Pelodiscus sinensis: one gene and its partners. The protein of the gene in region 3 purifies or fractionates together with the protein of the main gene of each other region. This does not show direct contact. Links are inferred from orthologs where the notes say so. Each region holds a gene or a part of one and is shown on either strand. Other genes may lie near its edges. The genes, in order: TRIM25, HDAC6, G3BP1 and FXR1.

Region 1 (7,317 bases), on a different chromosome or scaffold from region 3:
CATTTTTGGAGGGTGCAAATCACCTGGCTCACACTCCATCCATGCTCCTCCCCCTCTCAGAGCTTGAACAGTTACAAACAGCTGATTCATGGCATTCCAGCTCTGGGAGGGAGGGGAAGGAAGGGGGGAAGAGTGCAAATCAGGTGATTCGTGCACTCCAAAAGTGCTGGGAGGGAGGGGAAGAGTAGGAAGTATGGTTCTCTGGTGCCTCAGTGTGCAAGCGGCATGTGGGTGAGGGGGACAAATCGGTGGTCTGTGCTCCACAGGTAGATCCTCAGTGGATCATATGCAGTCTGTGGGCTCCAGGGTGCCCACCACTGTGTTAGAGGATAGTGTGGGGGGTGCGGGAGGGATTTCTAACGATTTATAATACGGGATCTAGACAATGTATGGTTATTAAAGATTCCATGTCACCTTTTGCAAGTGTAAGTAGTATTACTCTTTTCCAAATTCTAACTTTGGTAATAACACTGCCCATCTGAACTCTTTGCACACTTTTGATTATATACTTTCAGTATTGGCAACCCTTGACATTTTATGACAAGTCTCATGATATCTGGCATTTTCTGAACACACCAGAATCTCAGCTTTTTTATTTTAGAACAGGTTTTTAGTCTTCGTAATTATTAATAAACTTTTGAAAATGTGACCCTCTAAAGATGCAAATAGTCAATAAAAATACAGGCAGTTCCTGGGTTACATGGATCCGACTTACATCGGATCCCTACTTACAAACGGGGTGAGGCAACCCTGCACTAGCTGCTTCCCCCCAGCAGACCAGGGAGACGTGGAGAGGCTTTTCTCAGCAGACACCTCAGCTTGAGAATAAAGGACTGAGGGAAGTGAGGTGTGGGAGAATAAAACTGAGCTCTGGAGAAATGTTTGGCTAGAGTTTCCCCTACAATATGTGCCAGTTCCGACTTACATACAAATTCAACTTAAGAACAAACCTACAGTCCCTATCTTGTATGTAACCCAGGGAATTCCTGTAATCAAATGTGTTATTTTTAAAAATCCTATGATCTAAGTCAATCTCATGATTTCTATGAACTGACTTATGATTTTTGAAAGCTTTGGGGTTTATAATACTGTGTGATTCTAATCCTAAATTGTTGTGCAGTATTCCTTTGCTCTGTTGCAGCTGTTTTTTCCCATTGCAAAGGTGACCATTGTGTACTCAGAACAGTATTCTGAGGTCTTAAGAAATATTTATAAAATGTGTGGAGACAGTTGAATAGAAGTGCAAAGCAAAGTATTAATACTATTTTGTTACTATTTTTATTTTATTATACAGGTGTAGAAAAAGGACAGCATCCAACTGCAATCAGAAAAAAGCTAAAGTGAACTTCATTATTGCCTATTTATACTAATCAAACTTATTTTTTTCCTCCTATGGAAAGGTTAGCATAATGAAAGAATAAAGACTGAAATTTAGATGGTGGCATAGAGAGTACGGTTATTAAGTTTTCAGATGATACCAAGCTGGGAGGGGTTGCAACTGTCTTGGAGGATCAAATGATCTGGACAAACTGGAGAAATGGTCTGAGGTAAATAGGATGACGTTTAATAAAGACAAATGCAAAGTGCTCCACTTAGGAAGGAACAATCAGTTCGCACATACAGAATGGAAAGCCACTGTCTAGGAAGGAGTACTGCTGAAAGATCTAGGGCAGTGTTTCTCAACCTTTTTTTTTATAAATTACGCCTTTAAACAATATAAGTACCCCCAGTACCTACAGTTTTCAGACACACCATATTTTTTCTACCATTGCAACACATTTGTTTAAAAAACTTAATTGTAGCTGGGCGGGCGATGAAATTTTTGGGTGTAAAAATTACAAAAATAATAAAGCGCTGTAAAACTTAAAACAATAATTTAGTTTTCTCCAAATTTCAGTCGTGTTGATGTACCCCCCAGACTTCTCTCAAGTACCTCTAAGGGTACTGTACCACTGGTTGAGAAACACTCATCTAGGGGTAATAGTGGATCACAAGCTAAATATGAGTCAACAGTGTGACACTTGCAATAAAAGCAAACATGATTCTGGGATGCGTTAACAGGAATTTTGTGAGCAAGACACGTGAAGTCATTTTTTCTTTCTACTCTGCACTGATTAGGCCTCAATTGGAGCATTGTGTCCAATTCTGGGCACCACATTTCAAGGAAGATGTGGAGAAATTGGAGAAGGTCCAGAGAAGAGCAACAAAAATGATTAAAGGTCTAGAAAACATGAGCTGTGAGGCAAGGCTGAAGGAATTGGGCTTCTTTAGTTTCGAAAAGAGAAGACTAAGGGGATATGATAGCTGTTTTCAGATATCTAAAAGGGTATCACAGAGAGGAGGGGGGGAAATTGTTCTCCTTGGCCTCTGATGATAGGACAAGAAGCAATGGGCTTTAAACTGCAACAAGGAAGGTTTAGGTTGGACATTAACCACCCTGACAGGAAGTTCCTAAACACTGGAATAAATTGCCTAAGGAGGTTGTGGAATCCCCACCACTGGATATATTTAAGAGCCGGTTAGACAGACATCTATCATGGATATTATAGACTGTGCTTGGTCCTGCCATGAGGGCAGGGGACAGGACTTGATCACTCAAGGTCCCTTCTAGTTCTAGTATTCTTGGATTCTATACATTAGATTTAAAAAATCACAACATATAACCAGTCATGGATTTTAAAATAGCCATTCTTCTACAAATGAATTTTACTATACAATTACAGAGGGAGACTGCTGAACTGGCATTAATTTACAAATTTCACAAGGTCAACCTGGGCTTGAATAAATATATTAAATATTGGTTAATGCACTACAAAGCCAATTTCCCCTGCTTTTGACATACACATTTTCCCTACAAAAGCTACGAATGGGACAAATCCAGCTTATTTAATTTGCTTCATTAACACAGGTTCTACAATTGACAGGTAACTGCTTTTGCTGTTATATATATTGGATTATTTTATTTCCACGCCAACTCATCTGATGAGGTGTTTTTACCCATGAAAATTCATGATTCTATGTATATTTGTTAATCTCTAAAGTGCCAGAGGACTACTTGTTTTTAAAGTTACTGCCTAACACAACTACCCATCTGGAACATATCACCTGCACTTCACAATAAAATGTCAAAAAAATCATGTTGCAATATTTTTATATTGTAAATTCCTGTTGCTTTTTTATATCTTTCACTCATGTAATTTGCTTTCTTCTTAAACTCCTCACTCAGCTTTTCTGCATCTATGGCCCGGCGGGATGCATGAAGGAGTGGGGAAAGAAAAACATATTGCCACTTTGTATGGGCTTTTGCAAATCTTTTAACTCCAGAGCTGTGCTGTTCTTCATCCTGGCCATCCTAAAAGGAGGTGGGTTGAATTGAAGAGAGTGGAATCTCCATCCCTAGAGGTTTTAAAATCCAAGTTTGACAAAGCCCTGGCTGGGATGATTTAACAAATGGTCTGGTAGCATTTTATAGACTAACAAAACGTATAGATGGTATCATGAGTTTCTGTGGGCAAAGCCCACTTCTTCAGATGACCGGAGTTCCAGTCATTTGAAGAAGTGGGCTGTGCCCAGGAAAGCTCATGATACCATCTTATGTTTTGTTCGTCTATAAAATCCTACAGACCATTTGTTGTTTTTTAAGTTTATCCTGTACTAACTGGGCTACCCCCTGAAGCTTCTGGGATGGTTTAGGTGGGATTGGTCCTGCTTTTAGCAGCTGATTGGACTCCATGACCATCTGAGGTCTCTTCCAACAAACATTTGAACTATCTCATTACCAAGATAGTTTCCCCAATTATCACCTCTAATACCATTAACTCACAAACATCCCACTCTCCCTACCTCTAATATCATCAATTCACAGACACTTTACCTTCCTTCCTTCTCCCCCCCTGTATTCCCCTCCTGTTCTGCAATGTGATTTGTCCTTTTCATATTTGTTCATTTTTTTTAATTGTATCCTTTGGTATATATGGTTGTGACAATTTTCTTCCACTATTTGATCTGAGGAAGTGGGTCTGGCCCACAAAAGCTCATCATTTAATAAACCATCTTGTTAGTCTTTAAAGTGCTACATTGTCCTGCATTTTGCTTCCGCTACCCCAGACTAACACGGCTACATCTCTATCACTATTCTTCCAACCCTGTGATTCTATGTAAAGAGGAAAGTCAATACATTGCAGAACTGCGCACCAGAAAATCCAGGCTGCGGAAGGGGGAGCGTAAATAAGCAGAAATGGGAGAAAGTTTGCAGCCTGAGCGCCTAGCAGGGAGGGGTTTGCTAGGGAGGCCCCCCCGCGCTGAACTTTCCCCCTTCCACGTGATTTCCAGGAACTTCCAGCTGCTCCGCCTCTGCTTTGAGTTTCACTTTCCATCCCCAGCTGCCCAGGTCGTGGCAGGAGCCATGGCGGAGCTACTGCGGGCGCCGTCCTTGCCCTGCCTGGCCGGGCTGGAAGAGGAGCTGACCTGCTCCATCTGCCTGTGCCTCTTCGACTGCCCGGTCACCACGCCCTGCGGCCACAACTTCTGCGGGCCCTGCCTAGATGTCACCTGGAGCGGCATCCAGCAGGGCTTCAGCTGCCCGCAGTGCCGGGCCAGCTTCCAGCGCCGGCCCGAGCTGCAGAAGAACACGGTGCTGTGCCGGGTGGTGGAGCAGTTCCAGAGCTCGCAGCCCGGCGAGCCGGCCGAGGAGAAGAAATGCCGGGAGGGGAGCGGCTCCGAGGTGCCCTGCGACACCTGCCTGGAGGCCGCGGCGGCCAAGACCTGCCTCACCTGCATGGCCTCCTTCTGCCACGAGCACCTGCGGCCCCACCAGGAGAGCCCGGCTTTCCGGGACCACGAGCTGCGCCTGCCCCTGCGCGACCTGCAGCAGCGCAAGTGCCAGCAGCACAACAAGCTGCTGGAGTTCTACTGCCCCGAGCACGCCACCTGCATCTGCTGCGTGTGCCTGGTCAGCCACAAGACCTGTGCCACCAGCCCCGTGCAGGAGGCCAAGGCGGAGAAGGAGGTGAGGAGGGATGGGAGAGGAGGGGGATGCCTGGACAGAGGTGCTGATCAGCACTGGCCGGGACCCTTCTCTGGAACCTCTTGCATGGGACTCCTAGCAATGTTCCCTCTAATCTCTCCCATCCCCGTGCGGAATAATTTTGATGCGCACCCAGGCATGTGCATGCACCACCAGTAGAAACACGCAGTCTCGCTAGTGAGCGCTCTGCTGATCAGCTGGGAGGTGTTGGGATCTCTCCTGAGTGACCCAGCTTACAGGGAACTCTGCCCCTGGGCTGTGTTTGCGCTGCTGTTCTCTGACTGCTCCCACCTACGGAACATCTGCCCTCTTTCTCAACCTATTTGATAATCAGAGAGCTCAGGGACTGGCCCCAGTCCATGGTCTGGCACTTGAGAGCACTGTCTTAGATCAGCATTTTTCAGCCAGGGGTCTAGGGTGGGGGGGAGCATGCTCTGAGCAGGATTCCAGGGGGCCACCAATCAGGGCAGGCATCAGACTTTCTGCTCTGCACCCCAGCAAGTTTAAAGCCCCATTGTGTGGAGCAGAAGCCTGGGACCCCAAGATCTACCAACTGGGTGCTGAAGTTGAAGTCTGAGCTATTCAGCTTTCGGGGTGCCCCCTGTGTTGTACTTGTCCTGCTTGTTATCCTCTATTGCCAGCCCTGGCTTTTATGTATTGAAAAATAGTTGTGGTGGTGCAGGTGGGCTGTGGAATTTGTATAGCTTGTTGGGGAGGGGTCAAAAAGAAGGTTGAGAATCCCTGTCTTAGAAGATGCACCATTCATCCTTCTCAAGATCCTGGACAGGCCTTAGGAACAGCAGATTGTGGTGATAGGGATTGCAGGCCCTAAAAGTACCATCAGGACCATACACAGACTTAAGGTGTGTCTAAACTACACCCCTCTGTCAGCAGAGGGATGTAAATTACACGTTTCGAAAGCACAAATGAAGTGGGGATTTAAATATCCCGCACTTCATTTGCATAATCGTGTCCTGGCGCAGTTTTGAACAAGCGCCATTTCGAAACGGAAACCGTGGTTTAAACGCAGTTTTTCCAAAACACCATGTCTAAACCGTGGTTTCAGTTTCGAAATGGCGCTTGTTCAAAACTGCGCCAGGATGCGATTATGCACATGAAGCATGGGATTTTTAAATCCCCGCTTCATTTGCACTTTCGATGTGTCTAATTTATATCCTTCTGCCGACAGAGGGGTGTAGTTTAGACGTAGCCTTAGTGTCTAACAAAACTTCAGAGGTCTGGCTTTTAAGTTGCACTGCCTGTAAAATGCAGGACAATGTAGCACTTTAAAGACTAACAAGATGGTTTATTAGATGATGAGCTTTCGTGGGCCAGACCCACTTCCTCAGATCAAATAATGGAAGAAAACAGTCACAACCATATATACCAAAGGATACAATTTAAAAAAAAATGAACACACATGAAAAGGACAAATCACATTGCAGAACAGAAGGGGGATGTGGGGGGGGGGGGGGGGAAGGAAGGTGAATGCCAGTGAGTTAATGATATTAGAGGTGGGGAAGGGGAAATGTCTGTGAGTTAATAGTATTAGAGGTGATAATTGGGGAAGCTATCTTTGTAATGTGTAAGATGCCTGTAAAATCTCTCTCTCTTCCTGTTCCTTTTCTAAGAGAACAGCTTGTGACCATCAGGATACAAGCCAGGCTCTGGAGCACATGGGCACAGTGGGAGCTTTGTATATGTGTGAATCAACCTAGTAGCAAATGAGGCTTGGATTATTCAGGCTTTAGCTGTTATGGGGGAAGTGGCACTGCTTTCGAACTTGGCATAGGAGGCCTCCGTTATTCTTCAGTGCTAAGGATGCCTAAGAGGGACAGTCTAATCCCAAGCTTGTAGGGAGCTATGTTAACGTATTTTAGCTGCTGGATCTTTGCGAGCTGTATTAAGGGCTTTTGAGGAGCGGGAGGAAGCAAGCAGTGCCTCTTTATGGTGGGCCCCGTGTGGTTGGAGCAGCTCCCTGCCCAAACTGCTCCAGCCCCTACCAATTAACCAACACTGATTCATTAAGGGTGAGGCTTACCAGTTAACCATTCACATCCCTAGTAATGATTGGGGTGGCCTCAATCTCATTCATAGGTTGCCCTTCTTATAACAGCACTCCCGGACCCAGCATGAGTTAGGACTTGTGTTGGATTGTCTGGGGAAAAGGCCAAGGAGTGACTAAGTAAGAGAAGTGGTTGTGGGGGGGGGGGGAACACAGCGACTCACCTTTCCTGACTGTTCTTCGAGATGCGGTGTTCACGTCCGTTCCAGTCAGGTGTGTACGTTCG
Region 2 (7,908 bases), on a different chromosome or scaffold from region 3:
TCCCCCGCCCCCCTCCGGCCCAGGAAACGCCTGGGGAGTGGGGACCCCCGCCCCCTCCCCCGCCCCCCTCCGGCCCAGGAAACACCTGAGAAGTGGGGAGCCCCCACCCCCTAGACCTGCTGCCCCTCCCATGAGACCCCCCCCACCTGCCTGCGGTCTCGCCGGCCCCCCTTCCGCTCCAGCCCTGTTGGCCCCCAGGCCCCTCTGCTCCTGCGAGGCCTCCCCAGCCCCTGGAGCGTGGGGGCAGGGCCTGGCTCCCCTCACCCCACCCACGCTCCCCTGTCCCCCCAGATCGTCAGCAAGCGCGCAGGCACCCAGTGCAGCAACTGCCAGACCACGACCACCACCCTGTGGCGCCGCAACGCCAGCGGGGAACCCGTCTGCAACGCCTGCGGCTTGTACTACAAGCTGCACAACGTGAGCCGGGGAGGGAGCGGGGGCTAGTGGGTAGAGCGGGGGGGGACCCCGGACGCCTGGGAGGGAGCGGGGGCTAGTGGTTAGAGCGGGGGGGCAGGGACCCCAGACGCCTGGGAGGGAGCGGGGGCTAGTGGGTACAGCGGGGGGGCAGGGACCCCAGACGCCTGGGAGGGAGTGGGGGCTAGTGGTTAGAGCGGGGGGGCAGGGACCCCAGACGCCTGGGAGGGAGCGGGGGCTAGTGGGTAGAGCGGGGGGGCAGGGACCCCAGACGCCTGGGAGGGAGCGGGGGCTAGTGGGTAGAGCGGGGGGGCAGGGACCCCAGACGCCTGGGAGGGAGTGGGGGCTAGTGGGTACAGCGGGGGGGGACCCCGGACGCCTGGGAGGGAGCGGGGGCTAGTGGGTACAGCGGGGGGGGACCCCGGACGCCTGGGAGGGAGCGGGGGCTAGTGGGTACAGCGGGGGGGGGACCCCGGACGCCTGGGAGGGAGCGGGGGCTAGTGGGTACAGCGGGGGGGGACCCCGGACGCCTGGGAGGGAGCGGGGGCTAGTGGGTACAGCGGGGGGGACCCCGGACGCCTGGGAGGGAGCGGGGGCTAGTGGTTAGAGCGGGGGGGCAGGGACCCCAGACGCCTGGGAGGGAGCGGGGGCTAGTGGGTACAGCGGGGGGGGACCCCGGATGCCTGGGAGGGAGCGGGGGCTAGTGGGTACAGCGGGGGGGGACCCCGGACGCCTGGGAGGGAGCGGGGGCTAGTGGGTACAGCGGGGGGGGACCCCGGACGCCTGGGAGGGAGTGGGGGCTAGTGGGTACAGCGGGGGGGACCCCGGATGCCTGGGAGGGAGTGGGGGCTAGTGGGTACAGCGGGGGGGACCCCGGACGCCTGGGAGGGAGCGGGGGCTAGTGGGTACAGCGGGGGGGGGACCCCGGACGCCTGGGAGGGAGCGGGGGCTAGTGGGTACAGCGGGGGGGGGGACCCCGGATGCCTGGGAGGGAGCGGGGGCTAGTGGGTACAGCGGGGGGCTGGCAGCCAGGACTCTGGGTTCTCTCCCACCTCGGGAAGGTGAGGGGGGCTAGTGGGTACAGCGGGGCGGGGACCCCGGACGCCTGGGAGGGAGCGGGGGCTAGTGGGTACAGCGGGGGGGACCCTGGACGCCTGGGAGGGAGCGGGGGCTAGTGGATAGAGCGGGGGGGCAGGGACCCCGGACGCCTGGGAGGGAGCGGGGGCTAGTGGATAGAGCAGGGGCTGGCAGCCAGGACTCTGGGTTCTCTCCCGGCTCGGGGAGGGGAGCAGGGTCTAGTGGTTAGAGCGGGGGGGCGGGGACCCCGGACGCCTGGGAGGGAGCGGGGGCTAGTGGATAGAGCGGGGGCTGGCAGCCAGGACTCTGGGTTCTCTCCCGGCTCGGGGAGGGGAGCAGGGTCTAGTGGTTAGAGCGGGGGGGCGGGGACCCCGGACGCCTGGGAGGGAGCGGGGGCTAGTGGATAGAGCGGGGGCTGGCAGCCAGGACTCTGGGTTCTCTCCCGGCTCGGGGAGGGGAGCAGGGTCTAGTGGTTAGAGCGGGGGGGCGGGGACCCCGGACGCCTGGGAGGGAGCGGGGGCTAGTGGATAGAGCAGGGGCTGGCAGCCAGGACTCTGGGTTCTCTCCCACCTCGGGAAGGTGAGGGGGGCTAGTGGGTACAGCGGGGGGGACCCCGGATGCCTGGGAGGGAGCGGGGGCTAGTGGATAGAGCGGGGGGGCAGGGACCCCGGACGCCTGGGAGGGAGCGGGGGCTAGTGGATAGAGCAGGGGCTGGCAGCCAGGACTCTGGGTTCTCTCCCGGCTCGGGGAGGGGAGCAGGGTCTAGTGGATAGAGCGGGGGGGCAGGGACCCCGGACGCCTGGGAGGGAGCGGGGGCTAGTGGATAGAGCGGGGGGGCAGGGACCCCGGACGCCTGGGAGGGAGCGGGGGCTAGTGGATAGAGCGGGGGGGGCAGGGACCCCGAACGCCTGGGAGGGAGCGGGGGCTAGTGGATAGAGCGGGGGGGCAGGGACCCCGGATGCCTGGGAGGGAGCGGGGGCTAGTGGATAGAGCGGGGGGGCAGGGACCCCGGACGCCTGGGAGGGAGCGGGGGCTAGTGCATAGAGCGGGGGCTGGCAGCCAGGACTCTGGGTTCTCTCCCGGCTCGGGGAGGGGAGCAGGGTCTAGTGGTTAGAGCGGGGGGCTGGGAGGCCGGACGGCCGGGTTCTAGCGCTGCCCCTCCCCCCAGGTCAATCGCCCCCTGACGATGCGGAAGGACGGCATCCAGACCCGCAACCGCAAAGTCTCCTCCAAGAGCAAGAAACGCCGCGGGGCCGCTCCGGGCGAGGGGGGGGCTGGGCCCCCCGCCCCACTCGAACTGCTCTCCCCCCTGGGCGAGGACCCCGCCACCCTCTACTCCCTGAGCCCCATGGTCCTGTCCAGCCACCTGCTCCCCTTCTCCCCCTCCCCCCCACCTCCTCGGGACCCCCCCGCCCGCCTACCACCCCCCACATGGCTCCCCCGGGCCGGGCCCCTCGCTGGGCTGAAGGAAGCAGCGCTGGAAAGCGGGGCCACGGGAGGGGGGGCAGCCACGGAGTCAGGCAGTGGGAGGGAGGGGGCAGAGCGTTGGGGCCTCGGGGTTCCCTCCCGTCTGTCCACCCCCATTCAGCTCCCACCTCTCCCTCCCTCCACCTGGCAGCTTTGGTGGGCGCGGCCTCTGTTTCCTCCCCCCCCCCCCCGCCAAGGAAACCCCCAACTTCCCCTCGAGAGGGCACCGCCCCCCCGGCTCCCTCGTCTCCACTGTCAGCCCCACAGCCAGCACTGACTGCAGTAGGTCTCCCGTTCTGCTCTCCCCCCGGCACCCCGATATTTTGGGGGTTACCATGGATTTTATGAAACCACAATTTACATATAGTATATATTTCTTTTACTGGCTCGGCTGTCGCGTCTTTTAATGCCTGGGGGAGCTATGGGGGGCTCACATGGGGGGCAGGCTTGTGCGCCTAGAACTCTGCTGGTTTGGAGCACCATGGCAGCTGCCAGGGGGCTGGAGTGGTGTTCAGTTCTTGGGGTACATGCTCTAGTGGGGGGTGCCCTGGCTTATTCTGAATGCACCCCAAAATGAAGCGGGTGCTCTAGAGCCGTGAGCACACACTCTGAAAAGGGGGAGCCTTCACTCTTCAAAGTGGGGGACATCTCGGGTTGTGGAGACCAGACATTAGGGCCCCCCCAATTCTGTAGCTAGAACAGGAAGGACAGATTCAGGGGGAACTGTGGAGGGGCCGAGGGGAACTGGGGGGCTTATGACCCAGAGGGAGCTATGGAAACCTCAGAAACATTGGGGTGCTCTGTGCAGTTTTGGGGGGTTTCTGTATGTTGGAGATTTGGGGTAAATCTAGGTGGTTGCTCTTTCTGTGGCGGGGAAGCAAAAATTGGGGTGTCCTAGCTCCCCAGAACTGAGATGGGGGGTGCAAGGGAAAAGTGGGGCATGGCTTGGGGGAGTGGAGGGAGATGGGAGGGATCCATTTTTATGGGACGTTTAATTCCCTCCCCCTTAAAGTATCCCCAAAGAAACCAGGATGATGGTGGGGAGTGGGATGTAGTGCAAGGGGGGCAGGGAGCCAGGGCTCCTGGGTTCTCTCCCCGGCTCTGGGAGGGCTGGGAGCCCGCCAGGAGTCCCATCCATGTATCGGCCCATCTCTGGCTCTGCTCCCTGCTTCCCACGCCCCCCTGCGCAGCGATCAAAAGGGGAAGGGGGCGTTATCTGCCCCATCAGCTCATGGCCTGGTGGGGGTTAGCCCTTGCCTCCGCCGAGGAGCTGGGAACTGGATTTCAAAGGGATGTGGGGAAGGGGCGGGGCGGGCACTGGAGATGGGCCCAGTACTGGGAGCTACACAGGCTCGGCGCAGAGCTGGGGGCCCCTCCAGCCGGGACACACGCTGGTGCGGGGGTCGGGCTCGCTATCCCAGCCCCATGGCTACTTCAGGGCAGGCCCAGCGCCCACTGCTGGTGCCAAGCCCTCCCTGCCTCACCCCTCCCCCACTACGTTCTATGCGGCTGTTCCCCAGCTGCCCTGCCCCAGAGGTGGCTGCATCTCAGCACCTAGGGAGCCCTCCCTGCGGCTCCCTTCACTAGGGGAAGGCCGAGGGGGCCCAGCTCCCCTGGGGGGGGCAAGGGGCCAAGGCCCAAGGAGCCGAGAGGTTGGGGGGGGGAATCCAAGGAAAAATAGAGGCCGGGGTGAAGGGTCACGGGAACAAGCTGGGGAGGGGTCAAGAGAATTAAGGGTCACAGGGTCAAGGGAGTAAATCCCCCCCCCCCCGACCTAGGCCAGTGAAGAAACAGGGAGATTTTTCTTCCAGCAAGTCAATGGTCTCTCCCAGCTCCCCTCCCCCCCGCTCAGTGCCAATGGCCACTCCCAGGATCCCCACCCCCTCCATTCATCGTGATTGGTTTCGCCCAGATCTCCCCCAAGGTCAGGGTGAATGGTCATGACCAGCCCCCTCCTCCGTCAATGGTCTCTGCCATCTTCCCCCCCCCCGCCCTACTCCGAATGGAATCTCCCGGCGGGGCGGGGCGGGGCGGGACGGGGCTGGGTGACACCATCAGGCTGCGCGCGGCAGGGAGAGACCATCTGCAGGGGCGCGGCAGGTGAGAGCAGCCCGCTCGCGCACGTGGCTGGGCACCCGGGGCGGGCAGCTGGTGCCGCGGGCACGGGCCGGGGGGGGGGGCAGCGCTCTGGGACCTGCTCCCCCAAGCCCCGCCCACAGCCTGCTGCTCCGGCCCCGCCCGCTGCCCCCCCTGCCCCGCCCCCCAGCACCCTCGGCCCCGCCCCCCAGCACTGCCCCCCAGCACCCCCCACCCTGCCCCCATGCCCCGCCCCCCAGCACCCCCCACCCTGCCCCCTCGGCCCCGCCCCCCAGCACCGCCCACCCTGCCCCCATGCCCCGCCCCCCAGCACCTCCACCCTGCCCCCTCGGCCCCGCCCCCCAGCGCCCTTCACCCCCAGCACTGCCCCCCAGCGCCCCCACCCTGCCCCCTCGGCCCCGCCCCCCAGCGCCCTTCACCCCCAGCACTGCCCCCCAGCGCCCCCCACCCTGCCCCCATGCCCCGGCCCCCAGCGCCCTTCACCCCCCAGCACTGCCCCCCAGCACCCTCCGCCCCCCAGCACTGCCCCCCACCCTGCCCCCTCACCCCGCCCCCCAGTGCCCTTCACCCTCCAGCACTGCCCACCCCCCAGCACTGCCCCCCAGTGCCCCCCACCCTGCCCCCATGCCCCACCCCCCAGCACCTCCACCCTGCCCCCTCAGCCCCGCCCCCAGCGCCCTTCACCCCCCAGCACTGTCCCCCCAGCGCCCCCCACCCTGCCCCCTTTGCCCCGCCCCCCAGCGCCCTTCACCCCCCAGCACTGCCCCCCAGCACCCTCCACCCCCCAGCACTGCCCCCCAGCGCCCCCCACCCTGCCCCCTCACCCCGCCCCCCAGTGCCCTTCACCCTCCAGCACTGCCCACCCCCCCAGCACTGCCCCCCAGTGCCCCCCACCCTGCCCCCATGCCCCACCCCCCAGCACCTCCACCCTGCCCCCTCAGCCCCGCCCCCCGCGCCCTTCACCCCCCAGCACTGTCCCCCCAGCGCCCCCCACCCTGCCCCCTTTGCCCCGCCCCCCAGCGCCCTTCACCCCCCAGCACTGCCCCCAGCGCCCCCCTACCCTGCTGCCCTCAGCCCCGCCCCTTCCCCCATCTGTACACCCCCAGCTCTGTGCCCCTCACCCCCTGCCACCCCTTCGCCTCCCAGCCCTGCACCCCGTGCCCCCCCTAAAATTGCCTTCCCCAGTGCCCCTTGCTCCTGCCCCGCAGCCCCCGCCGGCCCAGGGTGGAGGCCGGGGGGGTCGGGGTTTGGCCCCTCTAACGGCCTTTGCCCCCAGCCCTGCCCCGCCATGGCGACACCCTGGGCGGAGAAGCTTTGGCAGAGGAAGGACCCAGCTCCCCCCTCCCGATCCTGAAGGGACCTGCCCCCCCAGCACACGGCCATGGTGAGTCTGGCCCTGGGGGGGGGCCCTTGGCTCTGGGCGCGAGGCTGCCTGGGCCTGCCAAGGGCTGGGGGGGGCTGGCGAGGTCCAAGCCCCCCCTTCTGCCCCGTGTGCTTCCCCCCCAGAAGCGAGGTGGCCGGAGGGGCCCCCAGCCACGCCGGAGCCCCGGGCTGCCCGAAACCAAGCGCCGCGGCCGAGCGCAGCGGGCGAGCAGAGAGACGGAGGAGCTGGAGTCGGGGCTGCGGCGCCTGGTAGGTGGGGGGGGGGGCCGTGGGGCTGGGCTTTCCGCTGGCGGCGCCTGCTCCCTGGCCGTGGGGGGAAGGGGAGCGGGTCTGGGGGGGCCGGCGCCTGGCTCCACTGTCGTGTCCCCCCCAGGACCTGGGCGTGGAGGGGACGGTGCCCGTGGGGACGGGCCTGGCCTTTGACGAGCGGCTCACAGAGTCTCACTGCCTGTGGGATGACAGGTACGGGGGGGGGGGGGGGGGAGCCACGACCCCCACCCCAGCGACCCCTCCCGCCAGTCACCACGGCCCCCGAGCCGCCTCCCCCCCAGCGACCGGCCCCCTAGCTTATCTGGGATCTGGGCCCGGGCCCCTCCCGTCCAGCGCCGGGATCCTCGCTCTGGGGGGCACATCGCCTGCCCCCCCGGCCCTGCCGGCGCCCCTCACTCCCTCCCTCCCTCCCCAGCCCCAGCCCCAGCGCCCCTCACTCCCTCCCTCCCTCCCTCCCCAGCCCCAGCGCCCCTCACTCCTGCCGCAGCCCCTGCCCCCTGGCGCCCCCTCCCTCCCTCCCTCCCCAGCCCCTGCCCCCCCCCCCAGCCCCTGCCCCCCGGCACCCACCCCTCACTCCCGCCCCCCAGCCCCTGCCCCCCGGCGCCCACCCCTCACTCCCGCCCCCCAGCCCCTGCCCCCCGGCGCCCCTCCCTCCCTCCCCAGCCCCTGCCCCCCGGCGCCCCTCCCTCCCTCCCCAGCCCCCCAGCCCCGGCCACTTTCTCCCGCTCTGTCGTTTCGCCCCCAGCTTCCCGGAGCGCCCGGAGCGGCTGGTGGCCGTGCAGGAGAAGCTGCTGCAGAGCGGCCTGTGGGAACGCTGCGTCCCAGTCGAGGTGAGAGGAGGGGCTGGGACCCCTGGGTCTGTCCCTTGCCCGGAGGTGTCCCAAGACCAGCTGCCCCTCCCCCCGCTCTGCTGCAGCCCCCCACTTCCCTCCTCTGTCCTCACAGGCCCGGCCGGCTACAGAGGAAGAGATTCTGCTGGTCCACAGGTACGGACGGCAGCCGGGGGGGCGGGCCAGCTGGGGCTGCGGGGCAGCAGGGGGGCAACGGCAGGGCTGGAGGGTACCAGCGAGGCAGGGGCGAGGGGCTCGCTCTCTCTCTGTGTCTCAGCCCAGGGTACGTGGAGCTGGTGAAGTCGACGGAGCAGATGAGTGAGGAGGAGCTGAGGGGCCTGTCGGGGACGTTCGACTCCGTCTTCCTGCA
Region 3 (7,556 bases):
CTATTTGATCTGAGGAAGTGGGTCTGGCCCACGAAAGCTCATCATCTAATAAACCATCTTGTTAGTCTTTAAAGTGCTACATTGTCCTGCATTTTGCTTCATACTAGATTTAGCAATTGTTCTTAAGGCATATTAATGTTAAAACACACTGAGAAAGGAACACAGATGCATGAATCTCTCACAATAGTATTACTGTTTCACACAACTCTTTACCTATCCAACTACTTAAACTTCCAGTTTAATGTGACATTCTACCCAGTTACACCTGAACAAGCAGCTGCAATTTAGACATTTTGTTGCAAGTCATGACTGGATTTAACTTCAAGTCAGCAGAGAAAGGTATAGTATCTTTCAAAAGACTTGAGGAGAGTGCCCATTCTACCACTATCAATAACACTGCTGAATACATCCGAGAATCTAAGTTAATTAGAAAAAATGCAATTTACTCTCAATTTTCCCTAAGATCGTATTTGAGAACTTGGCATGTTTTCTTAACCCCTTTTAAGTGAAGTGACTGATCTAGTGAATAGAAGATGCTGTTTTCAGAAGAACCTAAACCTCAGTAGCAAGAAACACTGTTGGCAAGAACTACATAATGGCTGAAGATCCATCACAAGTTATTTTATTTATACTAACTGGAAGTTAATGTTCAGGAGTTGGTAGCCTTTCTACATTTCCTAATGCTGTCATTTGTTTCAAAGGGTAGGCCTGACAAAAATAGCTGACTGGAAACATGGCTGTTTGCTGCCAACACTTTTCAGATCTAAATAGGAAGGTGCCACTTAACATGGAATACATTATATTCACAATGCTTAATGTAAGTGTCTCACCAATGGATAACCACCACAAAGCAATAATTCCAAATACAACCTTATACACTAACTCTATGCAAGACATTCAGATTCAGTAACAATGATACAGGTAGGGCTTTCCCAAGCAAGTAGGCCTGGGGCCTTCCTTCCAAGTTACTGGGAGCTCTTCTTACACTATCTTATTTGCAGTTCTAGGTTTAAAATCCCAGCTCCACCATTGTCTTGCTGTGTGACCTTGGATAAATCATTTAATACCACAGAGAGGACAATATTACCCCACTTGTAAAGCAGGGGTGAAACTTACCCTCCTTTGTACAATGCAGAGATTTACAGAGGACTACAAATGTCTCAAGGGGTGGGTATTTTTCTATGCCACATTAATCCATGAACAAGCTCTGCAGCGTAGCTACTACGTGTAGGCATTTTAGGTTTTTGTTTGATAGAACACACCAGCTATGTAAAGCACAGAACAAAGGTTGCCACTTTGTATCTAGCCTAACACAACCAAGTTTTCTTCCCTCCTGTTTGTGTCCCTCCTCTAACTCTTCCCCCCCCCCTTAAAATATTTGCTTTCAGAAGGATCCCTATTGTCCACAGCCCCAGCAACGTTTACTCTTTTCCACAGCGTCACTCCTTTCTGTGCGGCCAGAGGAATGTTCTTCTCACACCGATGGTGCCAAACACACTGGGGCTTTCAGAGCACAGGAACCGCTCCATGAAACGGCTTGTTTTTGTAGCCCAGACGGCTCGATGTTTCTCAACCCCCAGCACCACCCGAGAGAGCAGGCAGCCCCCCCCCCCCCCTTACTTCGGCCTGCATGCACGATGATCCTTGCAGGGAGGCTGCGGGAGGCCTGGGCTACCCCCCCCCCCATTCCAACCCTGTCCGCAGTTAATTACACCCCCAGGCCGCCACCCCCACCCCCATTCGCACCCTGTCCCCAGTGAATTACACCCCCAGACCACCACCCCCCATTCCAACCCTGTCCGCATTGAATTACACCCCCAGGCCGCCACCCCCACCCCCATTCGCACCCTGTCCCCAGTGAATTACACCCCCAGGCCGCCACCCCCCATTCCAACCCTGCCCGCAGTGAATTACACCCCCAGGCCGCCACCCCCCCCCCCATTCCAACCCTGCCCCCAGTGAATTACACCCCCAGGCCGCCACCCCCCATTCCAACCCTGCCCGCAGTGAATTACACCCCCAGGCCGCTACCCCCCCCATTCCAACCCTGCCCCCAGTGAATTACACCCCCAGGCCGCTACCCCCCCCCCATTCCAACCCTGCCCCCAGTGAATTACACCCCCAGGCCGCCACCCCCCATTCCAACCCTGCCCCCAGTGAATTACACCCCCAGGCCGCCACCCCCCATTCCAACCCTGCCCGCAGTGAATTACACCCCCAGGCCGCCACCCCACCCCATTCCAACCCTGCCCGCAGTGAATTACACCCCCAGGCCGCCACCCCCCCCATTCCAACCCTGCCCCCAGTGAATTACACCCCCAGGCCGCTACCCCCCCCATTCCAACCCTGCCCCCAGTGAATTACACCCCCAGGCCGCCACCCCCCCCATTCGCACCCTGCCCCCAGTGAATTACACCCCCAGGCCGCCACCCCCCCCATTCGCACCCTGTCCCCAGTGAATTACACCCCCAGATACCCCCGTCCCGAGTGCATTATTGCCCCATGTGCCCCCCCACTCTCACCCTGTGCCCATGAATTACAGCCCCGCTCCCAGCCCCCCCCGCAGTGAACCACACCCCCAGCCCCCCCCGGCCCGCCCCCACCATTCCCACACGCTGAATTACCGCCCCGGGCCACCCCCAGCCCTGCACGCAGCGCGGTGCCGGAGACCCCCCCCCCCACGAGGGGCGCCCCCCCCGCGCCCTGCCCCCAAGCGGGCCCGGCCGGGGGGGGGGTCCCAGCTTCCTTCCCCTCCCCCCGGCCCGCCGAGCGGCGCCGAGCCCGCGCGTGCCCGTGACGCCGGGGCAGGAGCCCCCCCCGCGGGGCGCGAGGAGGGGGCGCGGCAGGGCCCCCCCGTTACCTGCGGACGGAGCGGGACTGGAGCAGGAGGCTTCGCGACAGGCCGGCCGGGCAATGGCAAAACCTCACGCAACGGCGTGCTCACCCGCCGGCTGCATATATCCGGCGCGCAGCCTAACCCCGCCGCACCGCGCCAGCCAATCACCGAGCGCCGCACTTCGCAGCTCGGACGCCGTTTGGCCAGGGCCGCCAAAGCAGGGCGGTGCTTCGTGAGTGGCATCGAACGCACCCTATCGGCACTGCCGTGAGGCAGGACGCCGTTAGGTGAGCGACGTAAGAACCAGCCAACAGGCGTTGAAATGGCAGCCCCTAGGGCGGGATAAAGCTCGACTGACTCCCCCGGTGACCAATAAGGCGACGCAACTTTCGCTATGAGGTGAAAGTTGGACGAGGCGGAGGTAAGGTGCCCGCGTAGGGTGGTTACGCCGTAGAGCGGCGCCCTGGAGATCAGGCTAGGTAAACCCCGTTTTAGACAGGGCCGGCACTCGTTTCGGGTCTGGGCGCCGCAGCCAATTAGGAAGCCCGGCTGGCCCTGACTGACAGGCCGCACGCGACAGGCTCTTAAAGGGAAAGGCGGCACCGAGGCAGAGTCAGCCCGCCCCCGGCCGGCAGCCGGGCCCCGCCCCACGGGGGGAAGGGCCGCCCGCGCCTCCCCCCACCTGCTGCACCAGGCCACGTGCTGCTCCCCCCAGCTGCTCTGGCCCCGCCCCCTGGGTCACCGTGACCCCCCCCCCGCCTGCCTACCACCGCACGGCTCCAGAACCCCCCTCCCCGCCTCCCTACCGCCGCACGGCTCCAGAACCCCCTCCCCCCCGCCTCCCTACCACCGCACGGCTCCAGAACCCCCTCCCCCCCGCCTCCCTACCACCGCACGGCTCCAGAACCCCCTCCCCCCCGCCTCCCTACCGCCGCACGGCTCCAGAACCCCCCCCGCCTCCCTACCACCGCACGGCTCCAGAACCCCCTCCCCCCCGCCTCCCTACCGCCGCACGGCTCCAGAACCCCCCCCGCCTCCCTACCACCGCACGGCTCCAGAACCCCCTCCCCCCCGCCTCCCTACCACCGCACGGCTCCAGAACCCCCCCCGCCTCCCTACCACCGCACGGCTCCAGAACCCCCTCCCCCCCGCCTCCCTACCACCGCACGGCTCCAGAACCCCCCCCGCCTCCCTACCACCGCACGGCTCCAGAACCCCCCCCGCCTCCCTACCACCGCACGGCTCCAGAACCCCCTCCCCCCCGCCTCCCTACCACCGTACGGCTCCAGAACCCCCCCCGCCTCCCTACCACCGCACGGCTCCAGAACCCCCTCCCCCGCCTCCCTACCACCGCACGGCTCCAGAACCCCCCCCCCGCCTCCCTACCACCGCACGGCTCCAGAACCCCCTCCCCCCCGCCTCCCTACCACCGCACGGCTCCAGAACCCCCTCCCCCCGCCTCCCTACCACCGCACGGCTCCAGAACCCCCTCCCCCCGCCTCCCTACCACCGCACGGCTCCAGAACCCCCCCCCGCCTCCCTACCACCGCACGGCTCCAGAACCCCCCCCCCGCCTCCCTACCACCGCACGGCTCCAGAACCCCCTCCCCCGCCTCCCTACCACCGCACGGCTCCAGAACCCCCCCCGCCTCCCTACCACCGCACGGCTCCAGAACCCCCTCCCCCGCCTCCCTACCACCGCACGGCTCCAGAACCCCCCCCCCCGCCTCCCTACCACAGCACGGCTCCAGAACCCCCCCCTCCCCCGCCTCCCTACCACCGCACGGCTCCAGAACCCCCCCCCCCGCCTCCCTACCACCGCACGGCTCCAGAACCCCCCCGCCTCCCTACCACACACGGCTCCAGAACCCCCCCCCCGCCTCCCTACCACCGCACGGCTCCAGAACCCCCCCCCGTCTGCCTACCACCGCACGGCTCCAGAACCCCCCCCGCCTCCCTACCACCGCACGGCTCCAGAACCCCCCCCCCCGCCTCCCTACCACCGCACGGCTCCAGAACCCCCCCCGCTTCCCTACCACCGCACGGCTCCAGAACCCCCCCCCGCCTCCCTACCACCGCACAGCCCCGCCATCGCCAACCCCCCCACCAGGCTCCCTACCACCGTACAGCCCCGCCATCGCCAACCCCCCCACCAGGCTCCCTACCACCGTACAGCTCCAGAATGCCCCCCTCCCGGCCTCCCTACCACCATATGGCTGCCAACCCCGAACCCACCACTGCCGACCCTCCCCCCCGCCTCCCTACCACCATCCGGCCGCCTCCCCCAAACCCGCCACCACTGACCCCCCCGGCCTCCCTACCACTGTACGGCCGCCACTGCCAAACCCACCGCCGCCGACCCCTTTTCCCCAGCCTGCCTACCACCGTACGGCCACCACCGTACAGCCCCACCACAGACAGCCTCCTCACCACCATATGGCCCCGCCTCCACCAAACCTGCCACCATCCCCTAAACCCACCACAGCTGGTCCTAGCCTCCATACGGCCCTGCTACAGCCAGCTTCCCTCAGCCTCTGTACCACTGTACATCCCCACCATCCACTGAATCCACCACAGCCAGCCTCCCCCAGCCTCTGTAACACTGTACGGCCCCGCCACCTGCTGACCACACAGTTGGCCTCCCTCAGTCTCCGCACCACTGTACAGCTCCACCACCCTCCAAAGCTGCTACAGCCGGCCTCCCTGGGGCCCAGCCTCAATACCACCGTATGGCCCAGTCACCCACTGAACCTGCCACAGCTGGTCTCCCTAGGGCCTACCCTCTCCCAGCCTCCCTACCACTGTATGACCCTGACACCTGCCAAACCCACCACAGCCAGCCTTACCCAGCCTCCATACCACTGTTTGGCCCTTCCACCCACCAGACCATTCATAGCTGGCCTCTATACCACTGTATGGCCCCATCACCCACTGAACCCGCCAGAGCTAGCCTACCCGGGGCCCAGTCACCTGCCAAACCCAGCCTCCACAAGGCCCAGCCTCACCCCGCCTCCATATTACTGTACTGCCCCGTCACCCACTGAACCTGCCACAGCCAGTCTCTGTGGGGCCCAGCCTGACTCAGCACGACCCAATCACCCGCTGAATCCACGGTGTCCAGCCTTGGGACCTCTGCACAGCCGGCCTTCCATCAGTCACGTGCTGATCCCACCACTTGCAGCCTCCAGTTCTCTGCACAGCCTGCCTTCCACAGAGCCAAGGCCTCACCCAGCCTCTCTACCACAGTACGGCCTGGTCAGCTACTTCTGGCCCAGGGTGTCCATCTTCAATGCTGGGTCAAGGCCTCACCCAGCCTCCAAACCACAAGCTGGCTGGTCACCCATTCTGACACAGCCCATCCAGGCCATGGCTTTCCCAACCTTCAAAACCCAGCCCAGTCCAGCCACCCCTTCCTCCCTGGCACATCCGGACTCTGTAGCGCCATATGGCCCAGACAGGTATTGTCACCTGTCTTCACCTGGGCATTTGTGCGGCTCAGATCATCCTGGTCACTCTGTGCTTTCTCCCACCATCCCAGTCTTCCTGGAAGATTCCTCCACATTGTGCAAAGCACTAAACTGTCTCCATTCCCATTATTTCCTTGGGACTGCCACACTGGGTGGTGCAATATCAAAGTTCAGTAGCACCAAGAATGAACCTTCGGGGCGGACACTGCATCCTCTAAAAGGTTCTCTTTCCACCCAGGGCTCCCTGCGCATACAGCCCTACCAGCTTGATCGTCACAGATCCCGTAACCTCCTGGGAAAATGCTCAACCTTCTCTTAAGAGGTTTCAGCATAGGAATATGATCAAATCCATTCCCACTGGACACAAAACTCCATCCTGAGGCTTCCCAGCCAACATCCCAAGTAACAAGTCCACTTGGAAATCAGATCACCCACTACACTCAGACTGGTGAGCCCGCAGGAGCATCTAGATGAGAAAACAAATAACACAGTTCACCTGTCTGTGCAGCAGCAATTTCTTTTTCCTCTTTTGCAATTTCTTACTGAAACAGAGAAATCAAGCCAACTGAAACTTGCTCTGAAAGCTTTGATAAGGCAGAGGTTCAGGTTTTTGCATTGCCTCATCAGTGCTCTACCCTAAAAATACCACTCTCCAAGTGGAAAGAGATGCCCCGTTACTGATCCATCCCATAAAATCCATGTCACATTGCATGTCGTCACCTGAAAGGATAAAAGAGCCCCAGAAGGCACAGCAACTTTCGTACCACAGCCTTGCTTCCACAAAGTAAAAGCAGTCAGGGCTTGAAGTCAGTTTCCTAAGGCACATGTTTGGTTTTGCTGTGGAGGTGGTGGACACTTGCTTGGACCAAACTGTCTGCCAAAGGGCCAAAATTTCCCTTCACCTACATCCTGTGCAGCGCTAAATCAGTGATGTTGCTTGGGAGGGGGAGCAAGGGTAACACCTGACCCTATAGCCAGGACTTAATGCCTCTTGTTCCCCTAGCAGGCAGCCACTGTATGAATCTCCTTCCCTAGTTTCTTGCAGGGAGATTTACAGTCACTAGGCTGGCATTATGCCATCCTCAGCATTAATATTCCCCCCCCGCTTTTTTTTTTTTTTTTTTTTACTATTTATATCCTGAGCCACATTGCAAGCTGCCAGCTCATAGATCAGTAGCAAGGCCTTTGCAGAGTTTAGTACAAGCCAAGGGGCAGCCGTGTAAAATAACCCTGCCCCACAGCTGGGAGGACAA
Region 4 (7,293 bases), on a different chromosome or scaffold from region 3:
GAAAAAGAGGTAACAAACTGGAGATCCAAACATCTCCATGAAGTCTCCCTACTTTTTAATAGAGTATGTGTGTGTGTGTGTGTGGGAGGGGGAGATTGTGAAATGAAGTAGGGAGAGAACAGGGCAGATTCTGGTGAATCTATGACTCCACTGATCAACTACCACCCATTTGCTCAAATAAAGAGGGAGCACAATGGCTATCCTACCTTCTAGTCCATTGGGCACTGCATGAGGTTGCAAGATTTGGCCCACAGTGAATAAGAGAACAGGAACTTATACTCCTGAGTGTGCATATACCAGGAAATAAAAGTTGTTGTATTAAGGTTTACAGCTGAACTTCTGGATGCTAATCCAAACCAAGTCTTTAAATATTTTGAAATTAGACTGTTACTATTTTTAAATTACTTTCTTTTCCCAACTATATCTCTCTTACTATTTTCAGATGCCTCTTACTTTTCTTAGTTTTAGCTGGAACCAGATGCATTAGAATACCTTCATGGTTCTTGCAACCTAGGCAAAACAACAATTTACTAAAAAGCTAATGAGAATTTTTTTCCTCAAGATTTTCATCCTATTTTCTAGAGCAAGTTGGTTTCTGATAAACGTTCAAATTTTAACATATTTATCTAGACTTTACCAGTTATTAGTAAAATTTTACATAAATCTCACACTGCAGTTACTTAGGCCCTGATTAAGCAAAGCACTTAATGAAGTTAATGGGAATTAGGCACCTAGGAAATTTTGAAAATCTCTCTATGCGTCTAAATATATTTAAAACACTGGCTCTTAAGTACTATTGTTGAATTAAATTATTTTATATACAGTACATTAAAAACTTTAGCCCGTGATGGGCACTATTCGTGCTAATTATTGCAAACTGCCTGCCTGTTTTCACAGAATAGAAAAGAAGGTTCATGAATGGGCTAAATTTCTGTTCTCTTTTATGCCCATGCAAGTCTGGAGTAGCTAAATTGACTTCAGGAGTCACTTGTGATTCGGGTTGCCAACCGTCCAGGATTGGCCTGGATTCTCCTGGAACTAGCATCAATCTGAAAGCAATCCTGGAGATATGAATAGGTCATTTTAAGAAAATGACATTATTTCATGTTGGGAAAAATAAATCTCCCAGAATAGCTTCAGTCAGAGTTGGCAACCTTATTCCTGATTTACAGTAATCTAAATGAAAGCGGAATTTGATGCAGTCATTTTCCTCAGTCTGATTGGTTCCAAGTGGCTGTCCAACCTCCTGAAAACAGCTGCCCTGTGCCCCATTTCCACCCAGCTGCAGCAACCTACTGCAGTATTAATCTGAAAACAAGCTTGTCCTATTAAATACCATCAAGTGTATATTTTCAGCAAAACAATTTTAATCAGTCAAATTCACATGCAGATTACATTGGCTCAGGCCAATTCTTGTTATCTTTTTTGACCAGAACTGTGCATACTATTCCAAATATGGTCATACTGGTGCTTCTTAAGGTTTTAAAGTAACTTCATTTGATACTTATTACACACCTGTCTTACTACACAATGGAAATTTGTTTGCCATTTTTACTGTGTGGAGGATGATGTCTAATATTTAAGGTTTCATTTTACCCAATAATTCAATTTTTTCTAAATATTTAATTCTGAAAGAATGAATAACTTCAGAAATATTAATAGACTTCCCAAAGAACGATTTCAAGCAATTTTTTGTCATTGGCTCTTCGATTGTGTAACTGTTTGCTCATAATTTTCCTTTTGGGCCTCCCATAGCTTGATTCTCCAAAATGCTGTGTGCCCGCAAGAAAAAGTAATTGAGGTCATTCAGCACTGCGCATAACTAAACGCTTATTTTCTCTCTTTATGACACAAAACCATTTAACAATGTCAAGATTTGTCCTATAAAGATTTATCCAATATTTATACATGTAAAAGGACTAAGGAAGATGCAAATCAGGTGGTCACTGTTTCCCTGGTACTACCAGGTACCCAAACAAAATATTGAAATATCTGAGTGGAAAACAAAAAACTTTTCTAACCCAATAAAAAAAATATGCTCACATCATAGTTAAAACATTTTAAGGATAACAAGAAAACATTCTACAAATACATTACAAGCAAAAGGAAGACCAAGGACAGCGCACACCTGTTACTCAGTGGAGAGGAGGTACTCCACTTAGGAAGGAACAATCAGTTGTACACATACAACATAGGAAATGACTGCCTAGAAAGAAGTACATGGCCTATAAGGGAAGATTGAAAAAAGTGGGTTTATTTAGTCTCGAGAAGAGAATGACCACAGTTTTCAGGTATATAAAAGTTTACGAGGAGAAAGGGATCTGTGGATCAGAGTGGACCACGAGCTAAATATGAATCAACAATCTGACACAGTTGCAAAAATACAACATCTCCCCAAAAAACAAACTAACAACTCCTCCACCTTCATTCTGGGATGTATGAGTGATGTGAGCAAGACATAAGCCACTTTACTCTGTGCTGATTAGGCCTCAACTGGAGTATTGTATTCAGCTCTGGGAGCCACCTTTCAGAAACCTAGAAAAACTGGAGAAAGTCCAGAGAAGAGCAACAAAAATAATTAACCATCTAGAAAACATGATCTATGAGAAAAGAGTGAAAAAATTGGGTTTATTTAGTCTCAAGGAAAGAAGACTGAGAGGGGATATGATCATAGTTTTTAAGTACATAAAGATTTACAAGGAAGAGGGAGAATAATTGTTCTCTTTAACCTCTTAGAATTGGAAAAGAGGCAATGGGCTTAAATTTCAGCAAAAGCTATTTATATTAGTCATTAGGAAAACCTTCCTGTCAGGGTAGTTAAACACTGTAATAATCTGTCTATGGGAGTTATGTATATTACAATTAGTTTCCTAACATATGAATGAAAGAACATGATTAATATTAATGAGCATTTAACCATAGGAGGCTATGAAAAAGTAATTTTATATGTTTAAGTAGGAGTTGAACTTCTTGTTTGAAATTAATAGGCAGTTTCTCAAATCCTAAACTTTAATCTCTCAGGATACGTTTACACATTAAAAAAAAAAAGATCAGAACTTTCCCATTCATTTGGCATTTTATAGTTGCAATGAGTTAGTTTTATTTTAGAGGTTGAGAGATGTACTCATTTAGGCCCTGATTCATACTTTGTAGTGTAGTATCCCATCATTACCCAGATTAAGAGTTTTTTGAGAGAGCCACCTCTTCAGCCCCTTATGAGCCTATTTGGGAAAAAGTCTGCTACAATTTGGAGAGGCAAGGGCCCCATTTGTATGTGTGGGAAAGTCCTGAACTCCTGTCTCTGTATATATTATGAGCCTTTATTCCAGGAGTGAAGCACTTCTGTGTTTAGAGATCCTCCCTTTCCAAGACATTCTTCTTTATGCCACTGTCCACAATGTGTTAGGTGCTTTCCAAACAGAGGACACAGCCCCTACCAGACACATATATAACCCCGAAGGACAAAGACTGGCAAAGGGTGGAGGAGGAAAGGAATATAACATGCAACATGAACAAAATGACAGGCACAAAGCTTACCAAACTACATGTGTGATTTAAACTAGGGTTGCCATATCTGAACTTTCAAAAAACAGGACACACTTGAGAGGGAGTGTATCAGTATCTAACGTCACTTAGTATATAATACACAAACACAACACGACTTGGTAGATAATAATACAGATACACTCCCTCTCAGGAGTCTCCTCTTTTTGGAAAGTTCAAATATGGTAACCCTATTTAAACACACTGGATTCCACTCCCCGCATCTCCCTTCCATCATTTAGCATCCCGCTCCTTCCCTTATAGCAACCTGCGACTCTGCTTCTAGTGCCATGCCCCCTCCTTCACAACATGCAACTCTCAGGCAGGGCTGAAACAAGCAGTTTGCTCCAGGAGAAATCAGTGAGTAAAACCATGCCACGTCGTGGGAGTGTGTGGAAGGGGTGGTGGTGGTGGTGGTGGTGTTGAATAAGGGAAGGAGTAGCCTGCATTCCTGTGCCTACGGAAGGCCACGTCCGGGTGTGGAGGGGACAGGAAACAAGTCCCTTAGGTCTGATCGTAAAGAGCCCCCTCCCCGAGGCCAGGGGTGGTCACAGCCCCAGCCCTGCAGGACTTAGCCCCACCCTGGGCAGCTACGAACAGGTGGCGGGAGCGAGGCGCCCGTGGGATCAGCCAGCTCCCGCCCCGGCTGTGGCAATGGGGAGGGAATGCCTTTGCGGTCCCGCGTGTGCGGAGGAGTCAGAGACCCGTCCCCCGGGGGCTGGCCACCCCGCTGCCGCGCCTGGAGCCCTCAGGAAGAACGGGCTGGCCTGGGGTAGTCAGTCAGGCCTGGCGCGGCGGGGCTCGGGGAGGGAGCGAGCCCCCTGCTGGCCAGCGCCCCGCTGCGTGAGGGTGAGCGGGGGTCTGAGGAGGCGGCCTTGTGCCGCGGGGGAGCGGAGCCAGTCGTTCCTCCCCGCGCGTGAGGGGCTCGCGCTCGCCCAGCGCGGGGAAGGCCGCAGGAGACCCCGGCGAGGGGAGGGCGCTCGGGGTAGGGGGCAGACCCTCGGCCCGGCGCGCGAGGGGATTAGCCGCCGCGGGGAGCCGAGCGGGAACACCCCGCCCCCTCCCGCGCGGGGGGAGCCGGAGCCGCCCGGCTGCAGGTGAGGACTCCGAGAGGGAGCCCGGAGCGCGCCCCCCCCACCGTGGTGACAGTTTCTAGAAGCCCGTCCCGGCGTCCTTTGCGGTCTCAACATGGAGGAGCTGACGGTGGAAGTGCGCGGCTCCAACGGGGCCTTCTACAAGGTATCGGCCGCGGCGGGGGCGGGTCACGGTTTCCGTGTCCCCACCCCGGTCCCCCTCTCCCCCTCCAAACGAACCGTTAGGGCCGGGGCGCGGAGAGGGGGAGCGGGCCCGTGGGGCAGGGGTGCTCGGCGGAAGGGCAAGGCTGGAGAGCGAGTGCCCGGGTCAGGGAGGGTTGTGAGGGGTTGGGGTGCTGGGGGGGAGCTGCCAGGGGAAGGATGTTTGGGGGCTGGGGTGGGAGAAGACCTCTATGTGTGGAAGCGTTTGAGGAGGAGTTTGGGGGCGTGTAGATGCGGTGCGGGGCTAGTGCCTGGTAGAGTGGAAGGGAGAGCCTGGTTTCATTGGCTCTGAGGTAGGTTATCAGCTGAGCGAACAGAGGAAGGTTTCTTCTCTTTTGGGGGGGGTGTGTGTGGAATTGGATTATCTGAAGGGCTGAGGCTTTTAGTGGGAGCATTGGGGTGGTTTAAACTTCTGAAAATAAAAAGCCCAGATAATACGTGTAGGGAGTTGGAGTTTATTTATGTCATCAGAAAGCTTCCTTCACCACCACCCTCCCTGGTATGCCAGGATATTACAGGATCAATACAAAATACTCTCAGCTGTTGCCTGTCAGTCTTTTTCCCTAAGCCAGGCCTGAGATGTTTGAGAATCCCAACTCTTTTTATAGAGAGAGGCCTTGTGTGTTCCTTTACAGGAGGGCTGATTGCAGTTGTCATTGTGAACACTCACTGTATGCTCAGCTTCCTGGTCACTTAATTTCACGACTTCCCTTAATCACTTTAATCTAATCATGGATTTGTAGTCCACCGCTATGCAAGACAGTGATTTATTTGTCCTTTTCATGAGTTTCCTGGTGGGTGGGTCTATGGATGTAGGCTATATAGCATTTGGTAATTGGATAGTATGTAAAAACAAGTTTGTGTGTTAAGAACCATAACCAGCTGATTTCCTAAGTTTCTGTCTTTTTAAATAGATAGCTGGTTGATAAATTAGTAGGTATTTTAATGGAAAGAATTTATGGAGAATTGTAATCCTACTCTTAATAAATAGTGTTGAAATTTTTGTTTGGGTTAACAGTAATTTTAGGCTTAGACAATTCAGTATATGTTAGAAGTTGTGTAAAGATTTTTAAAGTAATCAGAATACACGTTAAAATGTCTCATCATAAGATGAGAAAAGTGAGAATTCTTGGGACTGGATCTGTACCATTGGCTCCGAGGTAGGTTTAGCACTATCAAAGATGGTTAATGAAAGTAATGGTCCCTAGAGTTGTGGCAGGGTTCTCTTTAAGCTGTGCGCCTATTTGGCTGAGCACAAACAATTTTAGGCCCACCAACCTCATTTGCAGAGCTAGGCAGCGGCACTCTCTACTCACTTTCTTGCTGAACCTGCAGCCTGGAAGGTGAGTGGTGGTGGTGGCCTGGTGGATTCTGGCAACCTGCCTCACGTATCCTGGTTCTAGCTATGGTGGAATGCCATGTGGCCTGGCTGGCTGGGCTGCGTGGTGGGCAGCTGCCCCTGTTTGCTCTGGCTGGAGCTGAGACATCCTCACCATGGCCCTAGTGGCCCATACTTCTGGGAGGCGGGAAGGGGGTCATGGAAATGGAGAGTATTGAAGATAAGCGTATGTCATCTCAGTAAAATACTTAAATGGTTTTGGGCACTTATGTATATTTTTACCATCTACTATCATACACACACATTAAAGCTGGTAAGAGTCTCATGAATGCTTTCCATAGATTCAACTCTCTGGCTTTCTTAGTATGTAGACTTTTGCTGTTATCTAGGGTTGCCAGGTGTACAGTTTTGATCTGGACAGTCCGGTATTTGAGCTTTCTGTCTGGGAAACACATAAATGTCCAGTATTTTCTAATTAAGTTTTTATTGTTATCATGAGTATCAGTACGTAGTTGTGTACTATTTGGCTGGTAGACACACTAACGCTGCGTGAGCGTGTCTACCAGCCAGGCAGTATGCAACTACACAGAGAGGAGAGGTGTGGGGGTGGGATGGACTTCCCAGGGCCGGATTCACCTGTGCACTCCTCTGGGACCATGCACAGGATGGGCAGCACCCCGGGATCTGGTGCACCCAGGCTGGCTGGTTTTCTACCTCCCCACCCCCCGCTCCCGGCCAGCCCCGCTCACCTGGACCCACTCCCAGCCAGCCCTGCTTCTTGCCAGCTGGCTCCCTTCCCTCTTCCCGCCCTCGGATCTCCTCTAGCCAGCCCCGCTCCCCCTGACCCTCTCTAGGCCAGCCCTGCTTCCCGCCGGCCAGTTCTCCTCCCCCCCCCCCCCCGCCAGCCTCGCTCCCCCTAACCCCCTGCCGGCCAGTCCTGCTCCCCTCCTGGCCGGTCCCTCTTCCCTCCCCTCCCAATCTGAGATCAAGTGTGTCCGGTATTTTTTTTAAACCATCTTTCTCTGTCACCATCTCCAATTCCCTTCTCCATGGTAGGTTTGGTTCTTTTTAATTTTTGGTTCTTTGATTTGATATTTTTTGCAGCTTTGGCTTCTG

What was found.
Region 1: the proteins of G3BP1 (region 3) and TRIM25 purify together in Homo sapiens (affinity purification with mass spectrometry; 4 studies listed by BioGRID and IntAct, with this or other methods). This does not show direct contact. The link is inferred for Pelodiscus sinensis from reciprocal best matches to the Homo sapiens genes G3BP1 and TRIM25.
Region 2: the proteins of G3BP1 (region 3) and HDAC6 purify together in Homo sapiens (affinity purification with western blotting; 4 studies listed by BioGRID, with this or other methods). This does not show direct contact. The link is inferred for Pelodiscus sinensis from reciprocal best matches to the Homo sapiens genes G3BP1 and HDAC6.
Region 4: the proteins of G3BP1 (region 3) and FXR1 purify together in Homo sapiens (affinity purification with mass spectrometry; 3 studies listed by BioGRID and IntAct, with this or other methods). This does not show direct contact. The link is inferred for Pelodiscus sinensis from reciprocal best matches to the Homo sapiens genes G3BP1 and FXR1.

Annotation. Positions count from the first base shown.
Region 1 is NC_134730.1:18,911,882-18,919,198, reverse strand, and holds the start of TRIM25 (E3 ubiquitin/ISG15 ligase TRIM25), read left to right. Parts: upstream 1-4,301; 5' UTR 4,302-4,405; coding exon 4,406-5,008; intron 5,009-7,317.
Region 2 is NW_027466031.1:232,695-240,602, reverse strand, and holds the start of HDAC6 (protein deacetylase HDAC6), read left to right. Parts: upstream 1-4,904; 5' UTR 4,905-5,058; intron 5,059-6,331; 5' UTR 6,332-6,436; coding exon 6,437-6,439; intron 6,440-6,561; coding exon 6,562-6,687; intron 6,688-6,811; coding exon 6,812-6,900; intron 6,901-7,453; coding exon 7,454-7,538; intron 7,539-7,653; coding exon 7,654-7,694; intron 7,695-7,815; coding exon 7,816-7,908.
Region 3 is NC_134727.1:36,251,833-36,259,388, reverse strand, and holds the start of G3BP1 (ras GTPase-activating protein-binding protein 1), read right to left. Parts: upstream 3,006-7,556; 5' UTR 2,861-3,005; intron 1-2,860. UniProt on the Homo sapiens protein: Protein involved in various processes, such as stress granule formation and innate immunity. Plays an essential role in stress granule formation.
Region 4 is NC_134720.1:45,544,005-45,551,297, forward strand, and holds the start of FXR1 (RNA-binding protein FXR1), read left to right. Parts: upstream 1-4,290; 5' UTR 4,291-4,731; coding exon 4,732-4,782; intron 4,783-7,293. UniProt on the Homo sapiens protein: mRNA-binding protein that acts as a regulator of mRNAs translation and/or stability, and which is required for various processes, such as neurogenesis, muscle development and spermatogenesis.